4 linked regions of the Arabidopsis thaliana genome follow. The protein of the gene in region 3 interacts with the protein of the main gene of each other region in a pairwise test. Each region holds a gene or a part of one and is shown on either strand. Other genes may lie near its edges. The genes, in order: PYL10, RCAR1, HAB2 and PYL6.

The links.
Region 1: the proteins of HAB2 (region 3) and PYL10 interact in binary tests that used the Arabidopsis thaliana proteins (3 or more experiments, as listed by UniProt).
Region 2: the proteins of HAB2 (region 3) and RCAR1 interact in binary tests that used the Arabidopsis thaliana proteins (3 or more experiments, as listed by UniProt).
Region 4: the proteins of HAB2 (region 3) and PYL6 interact in binary tests that used the Arabidopsis thaliana proteins (3 or more experiments, as listed by UniProt).

Annotation. Positions count from the first base shown.
Region 1 is NC_003075.7:13,899,347-13,902,539, reverse strand, and holds PYL10 (PYR1-like 10), read right to left. Parts: upstream 1,399-3,193; 5' UTR 1,321-1,398; coding exon 1,198-1,320; intron 1,116-1,197; coding exon 897-1,115; intron 811-896; coding exon 601-810; 3' UTR 540-600; downstream 1-539. Other genes in the region: SDG16 (SET domain protein 16), read right to left, coding at 2,284-2,374, 2,464-2,564, 2,646-2,720, 2,808-2,894, 2,984-3,073, 3,167-3,193. UniProt on the Arabidopsis thaliana protein: Receptor for abscisic acid (ABA) required for ABA-mediated responses such as stomatal closure and germination inhibition.
Region 2 is NC_003070.9:140,101-143,776, reverse strand, and holds RCAR1 (regulatory component of ABA receptor 1), read right to left. Parts: upstream 1,908-3,676; 5' UTR 1,640-1,907; coding exon 1,496-1,639; intron 1,354-1,495; coding exon 1,138-1,353; intron 1,067-1,137; coding exon 863-1,066; 3' UTR 516-862; downstream 1-515. Other genes in the region: HTR12 (Histone superfamily protein), read right to left, coding at 1-4. UniProt on the Arabidopsis thaliana protein: Receptor for abscisic acid (ABA) required for ABA-mediated responses such as stomatal closure and germination inhibition.
Region 3 is NC_003070.9:6,032,350-6,037,943, reverse strand, and holds HAB2 (homology to ABI2), read right to left. Parts: upstream 3,675-5,594; 5' UTR 3,028-3,674; coding exon 2,284-3,027; intron 2,086-2,283; coding exon 1,735-2,085; intron 1,640-1,734; coding exon 1,534-1,639; intron 1,340-1,533; coding exon 1,005-1,339; 3' UTR 546-1,004; downstream 1-545. Other genes in the region: HLL (Ribosomal protein L14p/L23e family protein), read left to right, coding at 1-309; AT1G17545 (Protein phosphatase 2C family protein), read right to left, coding at 4,036-4,356, 4,435-4,637, 4,820-4,835; AT1G17540 (kinase with adenine nucleotide alpha hydrolases-like domain-containing protein), read left to right, coding at 5,303-5,459, 5,532-5,594. UniProt on the Arabidopsis thaliana protein: Key component and repressor of the abscisic acid (ABA) signaling pathway that regulates numerous ABA responses, such as stomatal closure, seed germination and inhibition of vegetative growth.
Region 4 is NC_003071.7:16,844,070-16,848,084, forward strand, and holds PYL6 (PYR1-like 6), read right to left. Parts: upstream 2,126-4,015; 5' UTR 1,756-2,125; coding exon 1,108-1,755; 3' UTR 519-1,107; downstream 1-518. UniProt on the Arabidopsis thaliana protein: Receptor for abscisic acid (ABA) required for ABA-mediated responses such as stomatal closure and germination inhibition.

The sequences.
Region 1 (3,193 bases), on a different chromosome or scaffold from region 3:
TTTATACTTTAATCAAATCTAAAAGTTCATTAAAATTCTATTAATTTTATGTTTATACATAAGTTTATACGATTTATATAATTTAATTTAAATAAGTTATTTATGTGAGTTTGATATACTTTGTACCTAATTAAATTGAAATTATTTAATTAATAAGTTCAAACATGTCAAAAAATTTAGAAAGAATTAATGCATGATTATAAATTCTTAAATACATTAAATTAAATAAGAAATGTAATTCATATGTTGATGTGATAAGTGTCACTCTATCTAATGCTGATATGTCGAAAAAATGGAGAGAGTTGAAAAAACTTTCATAAATATGATTTTGCATGTGTCATGATATGTTATTTATATTTTCATGTGGAAATGTTAAAAATAAAAAAGCATTTCATATAAACACTTACAAATTTGAATTTATATTTCTCGTTTGACAGCTATTCGAAATCATTTCGTTACAAACTTCCAATAATATACAAACATTCAGAAAATGGAAATAGAAGAAGAAAAAACATAGACATTGCTATAAAAGGGAAGAGTTATTTCTCTTCTTTGGTCTTTTTCCTTCTTTTCCGAATGAAAAGATTCTCAAGTCACATCTCATATCTTCTTCTCCATAGATTCTGCTTGTAGACGCTCGGTAACATCTGCTAAAGAATTGAGATTGCATTGAATCAAAGCCTCCACGAAGAAGCATGTCTCCTCCTTTGTGTTACCTTCCGGCACATCCACCACGAACGATTCTATAGCCAATGTCCCTGTTTTTCCGTCTATCGTCTCCGAATGTAACGAAATGGTTGAAGAATAATTCTGATTGGACAAATAACAAATTAAGCTCTAAAAAAAACAATAATCTTGTCGGAATGAATGGTACATTTAAGGAAATTTCAATTTACCTTGAGTCTATGATCACCACCAACTATTCTGATGCCGAGAATATGCTCATTGTCGTCAAGAATCTCTAATACCTCAGTGCTTTTAGTAGCTGGTAATCCAGATTTCAAATCCACTTCTCTTACGCTACCAACCTCCAGCTTCTTACCTTGTACCACACACCTACTGATAAATGGTTTGTATTTTTGTGGTTCATCGAATCTCCTCACAATTGACCACACCTTTTCCAAACAAAACAAATCATTTAACATCTCAAAAATCGTTATCTTTAACACTTGAAAAACAGAGCAAAGCAAAGCTTACGAGATGCAGAGGAGCTTTGATGTGCTTAACGAGCGTAGAGCTACATTGAGACTCTACAAGCTCGTGTCTATGGTGTTTCTTGATGTACTCGCTCTCCACCTTCTTTGTTTCGTCACCGTTCATCGTTATCTTAAATAGCAGCAATTTAAATAATTTTGATTAGACAAAAATTATTCGTGCCTTTAGTTTTTTTTTTTTTTCACTCAATAGTAGAACCACTGTACCAGTGTGCAGCTATTTAAAGGATGCTCTTTTATATTGACGAATATAGCCTTCCAAGTTTCTATGAGTGAATTCATTTTTAACTTATATCTGTATTCCCATTATCTTGGATTATGATCCGACATGTCAAGTACAGATGGACGGATTGTAAACATTAATGTGGAGGATTGTAACATTATTTTTTCCTATTTCTTTGAAAAATATCTCTCTATCAAATGCTTTAAGTTTAACACATAACCACAAAATCTTTAGAATGTTTCAGAATTGCTCATATACAGTTTGACACCGAAACATTTTTTCTTATGGGAATTGTTATCCGTTATGCAATTTACCTTGTGTGGCTTTGAACATATCTGAAGTATAGATAAGAGTCAATCCATATTCGCATCAATTGGGCCGTCAAAAACGCTTAAAAGTGTTTTAAGAAAACCATTACGAGATCTTTTATCAGCAGCAAACTACAATTCGTCTGACATGGCACTTGACGAAAGCACGATTCATAAACCGGCGCGAAAGGAAAATCAATTCCCAATTGAATTGACTCATCACCTTCGCGGTATAACCGTAGTAAACCGATGGTTATAGGGTAAAACGGTCACAACAGTTGGAATTATCCCAAGTTTTCTGCTCAAGTCTCGTTGAAATGAACAAAATGAATGAAATTGAATTCTTTTGAGGATAATGGTGACACAAACGAGTTTGTCTATACAGAGAGGCAGAAGAGATCAGACTTGGATCACTTAGCTTTTCTCTCTACCTATAAATCTATTGTTTTTGGAGCAAAAAGAGACAATCTTGCTTTGGCCTTTTCTTCTTGGTGTTGTAGCCTGTGAAGTAAACTTAGAGGATCTATACCTTTCTATTCTAATTCATGAATTTCCTGCAGTTAGGGGCTTTACATAAGCATGGCACCTTGAGTTCCTCTGCCTCGTCTGGATCAAATAAGTAATCATACCTGCCAAAACACCACACAACATTTCTTAAACTATGACAATCAATCAGCTTTAGATTGAAGAATGGTATATATAGAAATGCGTTGTGTACGTTAACTCCTCTCCCACAGCTACATTGGCCTTGGCTATCAGGACAATCCTGCTTTCCTCATCTCCTACACTCATAATCCTCGCATAGCAGTTTGGTGTACACTACACACCACGTATTTTGATTTAGGCTTTAACAGTCTGTCAAATTTCTTGTACGTAAAAAGTCCATGCCAAGCAGCTTACCGAATGATTGATGAGCCGAGCTATATTCCCTTTATCTGTAGCATCAACCACTACTTCTTCACTGATCTTGAAAAGCTGCAACATAAATCCTTCTTTTGGTTAAGAGAGATAGAGAGAGAAGAGACAATTTGTGAAGATAAAATGGAAACTTTTTCAACTCACATAGCAATCCTTTCCTACTCTGCGATAACGTGCTTCTCTCAAGTCTGCAATGCTACCTCTCACCTGTTCCCCTCTGTATTCAAGAACCTGAAATACAATAGCACCTCTCGACAATAAACACTCCCCTCATCCCAAATAGACCAAACACAATATCACAAATGGGTCTGCTGACATACCATTTCTCCTTCTTGGATATTTCTTCTTGCAAAAAGACCCCATCCATGAATTCCAGATCGCCCAAAGCAGACCCGATCCATTTCTGTCCTCTGTTACATTAAACATACACATGTTACAGCCGATAATATCAAAAAATAAAACCTGAACATTCCAATCTCGTTCAAACATCAGAGAATTCTTGCCTGCAAGTGGTGAAGTCGTTCCCTGAA
Region 2 (3,676 bases), 5.9 Mb from region 3:
CCATTGATTTTTACTGCTGGAGAAATCGCACCATGAGAGAGAGAGAGGAATCGTAAAATCGGAAAAGAGAATCGACGAAAACTGCGATTATGAAAGTCACCTGCTGAGAAATTTCCCGCTAGATACGAAAAGATTAGAAGATTGGAGCGGAACTTTTACTTTCCCGCTCGACACTCAAATTTTGATTTTAAAATCGAATCTGCTTCACAATTTGTTTCAGTCAAGAGTCTCTCTGAACAACTTATTACAATTTGCACTAAACCTGTGGCTTCACATAGAGGGTTCGACTCGATTGTTAGCCTTCTTTAGTTCCTGTTTTACCCCTGGTCTGTATACAATATTACATTCAAATATGTACCTGTTTGTTTAGATGAAAATTGGAAACAGAGGGGAATAGGTTTTGTGTGTTTTACCGTTAAACCTCAATTCAAAATCTTTGTCTCTCTCTCTCTCTCCCAATTTATGCTCATCTTTTCAAGTTAATGAAATTGACACAGTTTTTCAACTTTCTGCCTCAGATTCTTTACAAGTTCTCAGCATCCAATCATAGGTTCTGTTCAATAGAGAAGTGGAATCTGAAGTCTACAGAAACATCTTTTGTGAACTATATATTATACATCATAAACCATTCACATTTACATTGTTTACAAAAATATCTACAAATAACAAACCACCAGGAGATATCTTACATCAAAACTTCACCATTGGGACAATATGTACATCTTTTTAGACTGGTCATTACCGAGGATAGATATCTATATATATATCTAGGCCAAACCAAAAAAATCCTGAAGAATATTGATTATATCACAAACTGGAATTGATACTTCACTTCAATGCCCTTGTTCATTGATTATGTAGTTCACTGAGTAATGTCCTGAGAAGCCAATCTTTCAGAAACATCTGCTAGTGACTTGAGATTACATCTGATAAGTGCTTCAACAAAGTAGCAAGTCTCATCCTTTGTGTTACCTTGAGGAACATCAACTACAAACGATTCAATCACCATCGTTCCTGCTCTTCCCTCGATTATCTCCGGATGAACCGTCAAAATCGACGAGTAATTCTGCAAACAAACAATCAATGAGAATCTGCATATAAACAAACATCAATGAGATTTGATTTCTCTCGCTGTACCTTAAGTCTGTGATCACCACCGATGATTTTGATACCGAGGATGTGTTCTTCATCATCAAGAAGTTCTAATCTCTCAGTAGATGTTGTTGCAGGAAGACCAGATTTAACATTGACTTCTCTAAGACTGCCGATTTCAGGATCACCGATTACTGTACATCTGCTCACAAACGGTTTGTATTTCTGCGGCTGATCAAATCTCCGTACAAGTGACCAAACCTAAAAAAAATCAATTATAATCAATCGTTAAACAGAGATTTGGGGGAAAAAACCCTAAATCGATGGTTGGGATCAAAATTGACGGATCATGGAGAAAATGGTACGAAAAGGGTGAAATTAGTGGTAGATTGGAGAAGCTTACGAGATGAAGAGGAGCTTTGATGTGTTTGACAAGAGCAGAGGTACACTGGTTTTCTCTGCACAGATGTTGATGATGCGTCCGTACGTATTGCACCGTCTCGAGACCACCGTACATCGCCGTGCCGCCTTCAACGCCGTCCATCATATCTCTCTCTCTCTCTCTCTCTTTCGTTCTTCGTTGTTATCTCACAAGGGAGAATCTCTGGAAATGGATAATAAATACAAGGAAGAAGAAGAAGATGCTTCGTTATGCCAAAACAAAATTACTTGTTTATGTTTTTTGGTTTCTTTTAATGAACCCACCGACATAATAACTTTTTACTTTTGTACCTAAACTCTTTTTTATAGCTTCCTTCTTCTCCTTCACACATTTTCAGCTTTTCAAACCAAACAAAAACACAACAAGATACTAATTTTTTAATGTAACAAAAAAACAAAATATTTAAGCAAGTTTTATTGTATGACGTTTTGGGGACCTATATAATCCGAACAAAACAAAACAGATTGCTTAGATAATTATTTGTTTTGATTAGGTAAGATCGTTTCAAACTTTATAGATAGTTTTGTTAATTTAAATTCAATTTTAGACCATATTCATTATAATAGCTAATTTTTTAGACACAAAATGTCGTTAATATACCAGAAATTTATAAATGAGTGATTCTCCATGTATCAGGTCTCATATGTCTTAGACCACATCTTATTAGATATAGCTCTCGTTGCCTTTAAACCTTGTTGTTAAACATTAATTAATTGTATCAAGCTAAATGTCTAACACCATATCCTATCTGCAAAGTGACTGTTCCATGTAGTCATGTACGACACGTAAGGTGTAATTTCTCTTCTAGGAGGAGAAGGCATTTCTACAAGAAGATTGGTACAAGGCATCCACAATCTAAAATCATGAAACAAGAACTTTAATCTGTTTGAGACAAAGTCCTTAATTATATCATACCGAATGTAGACAAACTAGTTTTTGTTAAATTGTATTTGTTGTGAATCACACCTCATACGAAGGAAAGATGAGATACCACAAAGAATCTACAATAAATCATCATTCGATTCATCTCCACTAGTCTAAAGTTGCCCCTCCTCCATCTTCTTCGTGAAACTCAAGCTTTCGAAACATATGGTGGAAGTCACTTTTGATAACCACCGCCGCTAATTACGCTTTCTAACCAGTAATATTAATGGATTACTATATAATTAGTGAATTCTATTTCTTTCTTTTTTGAATTCTACTTTTGTTTTTCCCAAAGGAGAAAAGACTCACCTTTACTTGGTTTTCTCAAACAAAAACAACATAATCACTTTTTAGATAAATCTAGTTAAATGATTACTTATCTAATTATCTTCTAACATATGTATTAATTATGGTTTAAGGTTTTCATAACGAACAATCTTCCGATTTTGTAACCATTTTAAACAACACATATAATTGTAACCGGAGGTTTTCTTGTTCAATATGAATATGGTTTATGCTTACATATCTCATTAATTGTCTGAAATTGACGTTATGATAAAATAGGGATTTAGTTTATATATAACATTTTCTGCAATCATATTTTTTAAAAAATGTTAAGTGATAATATAGTACTTAAAAGAGCGGTAATTGACGATAATTACAGTAACCTTATCAGATAAAAATTTACCCAAAACAAAGCTTATCGGATAGGATCACCTTTGGCACTAGCTAGGCATGCGAACTTAAACGCAAAAGACGACTTTGGCGTAAATTATTAACTGCTTCAAGATAAAAACAAGGAGCCTTTTTAGTGACAGCGACAATGAGCTAAATACGGTTAAATAATAGGAAACCAATATACGTGTCATATTTTCATTGGTTTATTGTCTGTCATTTTCATGTTCACGTATTATGTCGTTTCTCGTGAACTTGACACGTGTAATTCTTCTTTTTGTTCATTTGGATAACTTTTTTGCCGGCCAATAGGTTCCGAATCTTTTCGAATTAACCAATACCACAAAAAAAACAGACGGAAGTGAAAGAAAAAAAGACAACATTAACGACATTCTTCTGATAATGCTGGCAGTAAAAAGTTATGAATTTATCGTTTCATTCATTTGTCCTGGTTTAATCTAACTTTGACTGTTTCAACAAATTTAACAAAAGGAAAAAGCTTCAAATTTAGATGAACCAAAGAAGGCCCAATCTTTAAAGACC
Region 3 (5,594 bases):
GTTCAAAAAAAAGTAAAGAAAGACGCTATCCCAAAAGGTAAAGTGAAGAAAGGGATGGTCGTGTACGGTGTGGTTGTGCGTGCTGCGATGCCTAAAGGACGTGCTGATGGAAGCCAAGTCAAGTTTGATGACAATGCCATTGTAGTTGTTGGCATTAAGGAAAAGAAAGGGCAGAATAATTCACATGGTTCCAAGAGGAAAATGGAGTACAACCAACCGACTGGTACCCGAGTGTTTGGTCCTGTCCCGCACGAGATGCGCCTCAGGAAACAGCTCAAGATCCTTTCTTTGGCTCAGCACATTGTTTGAGACAATACACCACACTAAAACATCAGTTATGATCTCCTTTATGTGACTCTCTTTGATCCATTCATCACTTGGGTTTCTGTTGATTCTTCAACTATCCAACTCATTATTTTTGTTAATTCTAATGAATTATGAAACCTTAACGTACCAATTATGATCTCTTATTTAGGTTTCTTTTAATTGTTAAACTCTACTCTCTTAGTAAAAAAAGCAGGGGAAATAGCTTTAAACAACCATCCTTCTCCAAACCCTTCACTTAGTTTTCATGTTTGATACAGCATCCCTCATTAAACACTTTGGAATCAATATTACCTGTTGTATAACAATAACAATAGAAAAGACAATAATAACTCTTTCACAACAAGTATTTATATATAATAGATTACAGAAAAGTATTAAGGTGAATGTGACATAAATTTCAGTTACAATTCCTTAAGCCACATCTCCAATATTACAACAACATATCCACCTACAAGACTCCAAAGTAAAAACATTTCTTCTCTATTCTTCTTATACATAACAAACATACACATTCAAGTCCATGAGAAAAAGGAATGGACTTCAGCTATGCATCAAGGTCTTAATTCTTCTTCCCCCCAACATTTCACTTCTTATTTTTATGTAAACTTGTGGAAATTTTTTCAATAAATAAGAAATAATAAAATTATAATAGTGTAAGAGCTCGAGCATACACTGTTTCAAGATCTGGTCTTGAACTTTCTTTGAGCTTTCAAGTCGATCACTATGATTGAGATATTGTCTTTGCTTCCCATTTGAATAGCGAGTTTGGAGAGATATTCAGCCGCAGCTTGACACGCTTGGTCTTCTCCTACACCTCTCTCAGCTAAAGGCAATGCTCCATTCTTCTTGTGCCAAGCCAAGATCCGCCTCCTCGCAAAATCGCAAGCTTCTTGGTTACTCATTACGTCCCAAAGTCCATCACTGGCCAATATTAGACACTCGTCTTCTCTAGCTCGTGGCATAAACGTCACTTCGGGATCTGGTATTACAAATGGCTCCAGATATTGATCACCTGAAAACGATGCAGATTGAAACCCACTTTCAGGAGATCTCATGATTTTGCAGAGACTGTAACAGGTAGTAATGATCCTCATCTCTAAATAAGGTTACTGAATGTTTAATTTATCGATAATTTTGACCTATAAAACTCTCTTCATATTTCTGTCACTAGGCAAGATGGAAGACATAAGTGCAAGTTTGACCTACCGATGGACCTGGACATGGCAAGAACGCCAGAAACACGAGCGCCTTGCCATTGTATAACTTTTCCTCCAGCTTTCTCTATTCGTGCATACTCATCCTCTCTATCTGGCTGCAGAGAAAGGGTAAGAAATTTCATGAATTAGAAATAAGAAACTTTCTCAGATTGTGTTAAATTATTTTAGAGGGAAAGAGAAGATTTTTTACTTTGTGATCAACTGATAAAGGCATGGAGTCTTTGCCTCGGAGTAAAACTGCTCTTGAGTCACCACAGTTTGAGACTATTATATGCGATGAACAAACCAAAGCAACCACAGCAGTCGATCCAACGGTTTCAGGGGAAACAGCTTCAAGAACCATCCTATCAGAAGAACCAACAACAGGTCTGTTGATTTTCCCTTTAACCTCATCATCGACTTTTAGGTAACAATCTACAAAGACTTTCTCCCACTGGACCTGCCTACCCTCGCCAGTGTTCCTCCTACACAATTCCTCTTTAATCCGTTCGATTTCTTCAGCCAAAGCAGAGTGGATTCTATCATGGCAATAGTCAGCAACCTGCAAGAATCCGATTTCCACCAAAGCCGTCATATATTACATAACAACCTGCAAAGAATCCCGTTTCCAGCAAACCCTTTATCATATATACATACAACCTACGTCAACAAAACATAAACTCATGTATCTTCCGGGTTCATAGTTGAATTAACTTTCTACTGCTAAAATCAGTATAAGGATTTACGAACTACAGCATACCTGAGCGCCTCCGTGGCCATCATATACACCAAAGAAGTGACTAGTGAGATATGGGAGACTTGGACTCATCCCTTCATGATCCCCCATAAGCATTTTGATGGGTATTTTGAGAAAATGAGGTAAAGCTCTAACAGCATCCTCCATTTCAGATCTTCCACCGCAAATTGAAATCGTGCCCCAAAGAGGTATACACTCTAGTTCATAAACACTCCTGCTTCCTCTTGCTACATTAGGATTTTCTTCAGGTAACCTAATGACTACCTCAGAAGTTGCCACCTCCATATTCACATCGTGATTCAGACTCGCAATAAGGACTTCTGCAGTGGGAACCTGTTCTATGGTTGTCTCGTTTAGGATAATGGCCGTAGCAAGAACTCGCCCGTTATCAGTTTCAACTGTATCTGGCAAACTTATCTCAGACCTAGCGTCCACAACTATTAAACCTTCGCTAATAATAGTCGCATCAGATACTAATGGCTCATCTTCTTCTGATTCCTGGACAGTTACACTAAAATCAGAAGACAAACTTCTCACTTCAGATAAAGTCTTCTCTTCTGAAACACTTCCCATAATACAATCCACCACTCCATTACTATATCTTTGTCTTTTCTGATTACACAACATGTCAGCTGCATCAGTAACATTCTCCAGCTCGGAGATATCGAAAGTAGATGAGATTCCAGAGTCACACATCGTATTAGCTAAACCCAAAGTAAGTGCAACTGCAGGTGAAATCTCTTCCATGAGCTGGTATGCAGCTTCCAAACCTCAACTGGAGCAAAACGATTCAAAAAACTTCATTTTCTTCTCTAAGCTATAGTCTGATGAACTCTACATCCAATTCAGCTTCCCACCGAGACCCACCAGCCGTTTATTCTCACCAACTAATCCAGAAAGCAGTGAATGACGAAGAAGTATGTACCTCCGCTGAACAGATCTGACGGATCTATGAAGACGGATCCTTTGTGAATTCGTGGGATTTTGATCACTCTAACGATCCTCTATAACTCTTGATCTTCATCGAATCAGAAAGACAATAAACTCACACAAACCCTAATTTAGAAACCCACAAAAAAAAAATCAGCCTTTTTCAGATAGATCACACAAGAGAGCAGAGAGAAGACACAAAGGTGAAAACTTTATCCAAAACAAAAACAAAAGTCAGGTGAAATTGAAGAGAAGGGACAACAAACAGAGAGAATTGATATCAATCAGCGAAATGAATCACAAAACACACAGAAAAACCTAAAAAAGTCGAAACCTTTATCTCTCTTATCTTTCCAAAACGAAACGAAACATGGGTTCTCCTGGATCTAATGAGGTTTTTACCCAAAAAATAAAATTAGAAAAATTATAAGCACTCCACGGAATCCCAAGTTTCTTTATGTGACAACGACCTTCATTATTAACACGTTGCTCCAATCAATTATAAAACTAATTTATTAATCTATTCAATAATGGCAACATAGATGACGCGTGTCCTTCCCTCTTAAAGGTCAAGTCTTCTGTTTATTCTTCTAATTTAGTTTTTTGATCCAAGATTGAAAGTATGTTCATGACATATGTTCATGCATCTCATGACACATGTAGTGTTATCATAACGTGGTTAAAAAATAGACAACGAAAGACTTTTCTCGGAGACCAAAGTTTGAAATGGGCCTACATTAAGGCCCAGTCAGCGTCACTTATATGGGCTCTAGCGTCCACTTGTTTACATTAAGGTAAGAAACTTCATTAGCTCTGTCTCAGCTTTTATACTTTCTGATCAACTGATAAAGGCATGGATTCTTTGCCGCGGAGTAAAACCACTCTTGAACCACCACAGTTGGAAACTATGATATGTGATGAGCAAACCAAAGCAACAACAGCAGTTGATCCGACGGTCTCAGGGGAAACAGCCTGAAGAACCATCCTATCATCAGAAGAAACAGAACCAGAAACAGGTCTGCTTCTTCTGTGGCCATCATAAATTCCGAAGAAGTGACTAGTGAGACATGTGAGCGTTGGACTTATTATCCCTTCATGATCACACATAAGCATTCTGATAGGTAGTTTGAAAAATGAGATAAAGCTCTAACAGCATCCTCCATTTCACCGCAGATTGACACAGTGCCCCAAAGAGGTATACACTCTAGCTCATAGACACTCCACCTCCTTCCTCTTTGCTACATTATCATGATGACTTGTAGTAATAAGGACTTGTGTTGTGGGAACCGCATCATCATTCAGGATAATGGACGTAGCAAGAACTCGCCCATGATCCTCTATTCCACTTCCATTGTAGCGTCCACAACTATTATTAAATTCCACACTCGCTTGTACACGGCTGTTTGTTATACGAAAATCATTATTAGCTATATATTATATACTCCATATGGTTTCTTTGAAATATCAAAGGTCCTCCTCATCAGCGACATGAATCACACACAAAAGACAAAGTCCTTCAAACTCAAACCCTTTTGCCCTTTCAAAACCAAACAGGTTACCCCAAGATATTTAACACGTTCGTCGAAACAATTATAAAACTAATTTCAACCTTTGGATTTCCTCATGGTCTTCTTCTTTCTTCTAAAAGATCAAGACTGCCTATAATTCCAAATTTATCTAGTTTACATATATATCAATATAAGATGCCATTACACAAATCTAAAAATAAAAAATCCTCTTTTTGTCTACAAGATATGATATGGAATATCCTTTAAAGATAAGTCGTCAACTAAAATTAAAAAAATCCTCTTTTTGTCTGCCTCTCTGTTCGTTATGACTGTTTAGATTGTTGGAGAAAAGAAAAACCTTCTAATTTTAGCAAAGTGCCAAAACCATTATAAGTTTAAATTTTCTCAACAAACAAAACAGCTCTCCTCTCCTCTTCTCTTCTTAATTCCTTGTTATCATTTTCATTATCATTCGGTCTCCTTATTTCCTCCTTCTGAGGGTAATTGAAAGACCGTACCACAATGTCTTTCTAGTTTCTCCAGAAGCAAAAGTTTCCAGCAATCATCTCGAGGGCTGAGAAACAATGGCTGCAAGAAGACTCAAAGGAAAAGACAGCAAAGCAGTTACCGCCATAGCCATTGATAAAGATAAGAACAGCCAACACGCTTTGAAATGGGCTGTTGAGAATATCATCATCGATTCTCCAAACTGTATCCTTCTCCATGTTCAAACCAAACTGAGTACGTAATGGCATCATCATCATCATCATCATTGTTATCAATCCATCAATCTAATGAAAACTCTTGAAACAGGATTTGGGGCAGGAGAAAACACAGAAGCACCACATGACAACCAAGAAGAGGCGCATCAGTTCT
Region 4 (4,015 bases), on a different chromosome or scaffold from region 3:
ATAATTTTGACATTTGAATTATTGAAACGGTTCACGCATCCCAAAACTATAAAAGGAACTAAGAAATTTTATCATTTTGGTATGTAAATAATTTTGATTTATTTTTTTGGTGAGTAAAAACAAAACATTTACGTATTTATGTAAAGTTTGTTGATGAAATGACAAATAATTTGAAAATTTTACGTTTCCAAATTAGGGAATTAAAGATATAATGCTGTATTACCTGACACCATTTATTTTGGCCTAGCATTATATATGCCATAAAGAAAATTCTTAAGATTATATCACATAACTCAATACATGCATTACGCCTTGGTTCAAGTTTAATTATCACTAATTGATATTATTCCATCTTTGCTTTTAGGATTGAACGCTTTGATTATATAGCTGGTGAGCAAATTCATTTAAAACACCAAGTAGTATTCTACTGTTTATACATTTCAATAAAATTCAAATGATGTATAGTTTTACTTTGTTCTTCTCTTAACATAAAGGAAAACGAATCATCTCAATCAGCACATGTATGGGTTTTCTGATTGCCCACAATTGTTCAGATCTCTTCATATATAGTAGATATGCCAATGATTATATTAATCAAATTGTTTGTGTAATACATTATTATGTAGGTTATCAAAATTAATGAAATTAGACATAATAATATCGGAAATATCGTAACAATATACCCCATGCATTATAGCTGAATCACTATATAGTCTATATTGTTTCATGATTAACTAAATTAAAAGACAAATAATAAATATGTAAAATACGGCGCAAGAAGAAGATTATGAAAATAACTAAACAATCAATGTTTATATAATAAAGCTACGAGAGCTGTACAAGAAGAAATGGTTTTAAGGGTAAAACCAAAGTATCGTTGAGACATACATTTAACAGACCCTAAAAACCCTAACTTCGAAAAACCAAAACCATCTTGTTTGATATAATTCTTGTTTTTTGTTTTAGTTTCGAAAAATCCCCGACGATAGTTAAATACTTAAATCTTAAAATCCAAAACCACCTCGAGAATCCCAAAAATAAAAGATAAATTTTGAAAGAGAGAAATATAGAAAATAAAATAAAAATAAAAAGATTGAAAAAATGTAATTACGAGAATTTAGAAGTGTTCTCGGCGAGTTTAGCCAGCGATTGCAAGTTGCACCGTACTATAGTATCAGCAAAGCTACAAGTCTCTTCCTTATCGTTACCCGCCGGTACGTCAACGACGTATGACTCAACGACACGTGTCCTCTTCTTGCCGTCGGAGTCCTCCTCCGACTCATGCACCGTCGTCACCGACTTGTAGTTCATGAGTCTGTGGTCCCCACCAACGACGCTGAAACTGATGACGTGGCGATCATCGTCCATGATCTCAAGCCGCTCTAAGCTAAACGCCGCGGGGAGACCAGAGACGACTCTGACCTCTCTCACCGACCCAACCTCTCGACCGTCTCCGATAACCACGTGGCAGCTTTTCACGAAGTGTTTGTACGCTTGAGGGTGTTCGAAGCGGCTTAGGATCGACCAGACTGTGGAAACCGGAGCCTCCACGTCTTGTACCACGACGGAGAAGCACTGAGAAGGACCAACCACGTGCGTGTGGGAAAGCTCCACGTGCTCCGGCACATCAGCCATCCCGCGCGTGAGGCTCACTTTTTGAACCTGTTTCTGATGGTGGTGGGGATAGTTTCTTACGGTGGCGTTGGCTGCTTCTGCGGCGGTGGAGGATCTCTGAAACTGTATCGACGTTGGCATTATTAAAGCAAATCTTTTCTCTATATCTCTTTTAATATTCTTGGCTCTCTCTAAGAAAACAAATGGTTTTCTTCGTGAGGTTGTATTAATGAGAGATATTTACATGTAATATACAGAACTATATAAGGACAGAGTGTTTATATATAAAAATGCAAGTATGTGGATTAGGAAAGAGAGTTAGTTTGTGTGGGTTCTTCGGTTGTCCACTTGGGATTTGTTTGGAGTTTGTGTACTGCTTCAGTTAAGAAACGTCTCTCTCTTTCTTTATATCAAGGACCGGCCCGGTTTCCCATGAAATTCTACGGACTGGTTCTCGATATTTAATATAACCGGTTATTAAATTTTAATTTTGTTTTTCCTTGCTTTGTTACTGAGGCTGTCTATTTGTCAATGGTGCTATATATTTCACCAGTTTATTACAATGAATGAGCATGTTGTCGTAACCACACAAGCATTACTATAATTAGAATGGACGTTTTTATGTTTTAACCAAAAACACTCTTGAATGAAAGTTGAGAAAATGAAATCAATATCATTTAAGATACCGAGAAAAAAATTCTGAACTCATCTCTATCTCACCGATTATATCAATATTCAGAATATAAAAACATTGAACATTATCTTTGAGGTTTTGCATAGATATTTCAATCTTCTACTGTCTCGAGGCTATATATATAGCTAACTCTAAAACGTTATTAAAGATTATAAGAACATGATCACTATGTGTCGAGTTGGTTAAGCTATATATATTGGTTAAGAGCTATACTTAATTTATGCATAGGTTTGAAAAAATTCTTGAAACAAATTGGTTGGGAGGACCGACCTTTGTCTTTGTGATTGCCGATCTATTTTCAGTTGGTACTATTCTTGGATGCGTTTTTGGTGGATTTTTAATTTTGTTGGAACCTTCTGACTAAGGTAAAAATTTCAAAAATAACTCCATAGGACTTTCAATGTTCCAAGTTGGTGAAGATATCATGTCATGGGTCCATCATAATAATCTTTCCTCATCTTGTAATCAACTTGAGCCTTTCGACGATACTAAAAAAAGTATTAATCAAATTCCTTTTCAACAAAGAAAAGAACAGAATATTAATAAGACGAATTAGAAGAAAATCAAACTAAGCAGTTTGCTAAAAGTAACCAACGTAAAGTCAGGGAAATTTACGAATTGGACAATATTTCTTGGGTGTGTTTTCTTCCACAAACGTATATTCAAATCATATGAATATATTGGACTCTTGGATTTGAGTGGTGGGCATAATAACAAAACACAATTGGGAAAAATAATAAAGGGTTATCTAATGCATTAGTTTTTCCAACAACTATACATATTCCCAAGTAGCCCTAGTTGTTAAGATTAATACGAATAAGCGAGCAATTTGCAGTACTAATTATATCTGACATTTTATAGAATAAGAAGGACAAAAAGTTACAATTTGCTATTTTTTGCACCATCCTCGATATAAAGATTGCTCATCTTATAAGCTTTCGGGTTAGGTGACATAATCACTCACCAATATATTACTGAACACAAATAGATTACAAGTTGATGTGGAAAATGTATTAATATTACGGTGATACATTTTTGGGTTCAAAGAGTCAATCTCAAATCAATGCATCAGACGTATTTTGTTACAACAACATAATTTGTGCCAACTTTTTTTTTTGTCAAAACATGTATTATATATCCAAGATTTAAATTCCAATGGTGAGATAGTGACAAACATTAGTATAAACAACTCGACTCCATGTCATTATTATTTTTGTGCAAAAGCCGGTTGTTTGTTTGTTTGTGAATATTTCTCGAGAAATAAATCTCCAATATGCATAAAATATTATTCCACCTAAAATTATTAAATCCCCAACTATGATTATAAACAAAATGCACTTAAAATTTCAAAAATAAGTATCGAAAAAATCAAAGATAAGCTTAAATTTCGATAGATATTTGAATGAATCAGATTACAACGTGATATTAAGAGAAGATTATCGATCAAAAAGTAATTAAAAGGAGAAATTGTCCAAAATAGTTGCATCTCATTCTTGCGGAGAAGAGGACACATTGTCAAAGGGAACTTGTGGAGGTGCAATACCCACCAATTCATTGGATTTAATTAATTAACAGTTTGCCAACTTGATTTCTTCATTTTTCTAAAGGCTTAGAAGATCTTCAAGATTCGAGCAAGAAAAACGATTTTGGAGACCAGAATGGAATAGTTAAAGCCTTTTAAATAATATACAACTATGTCCCATTTGC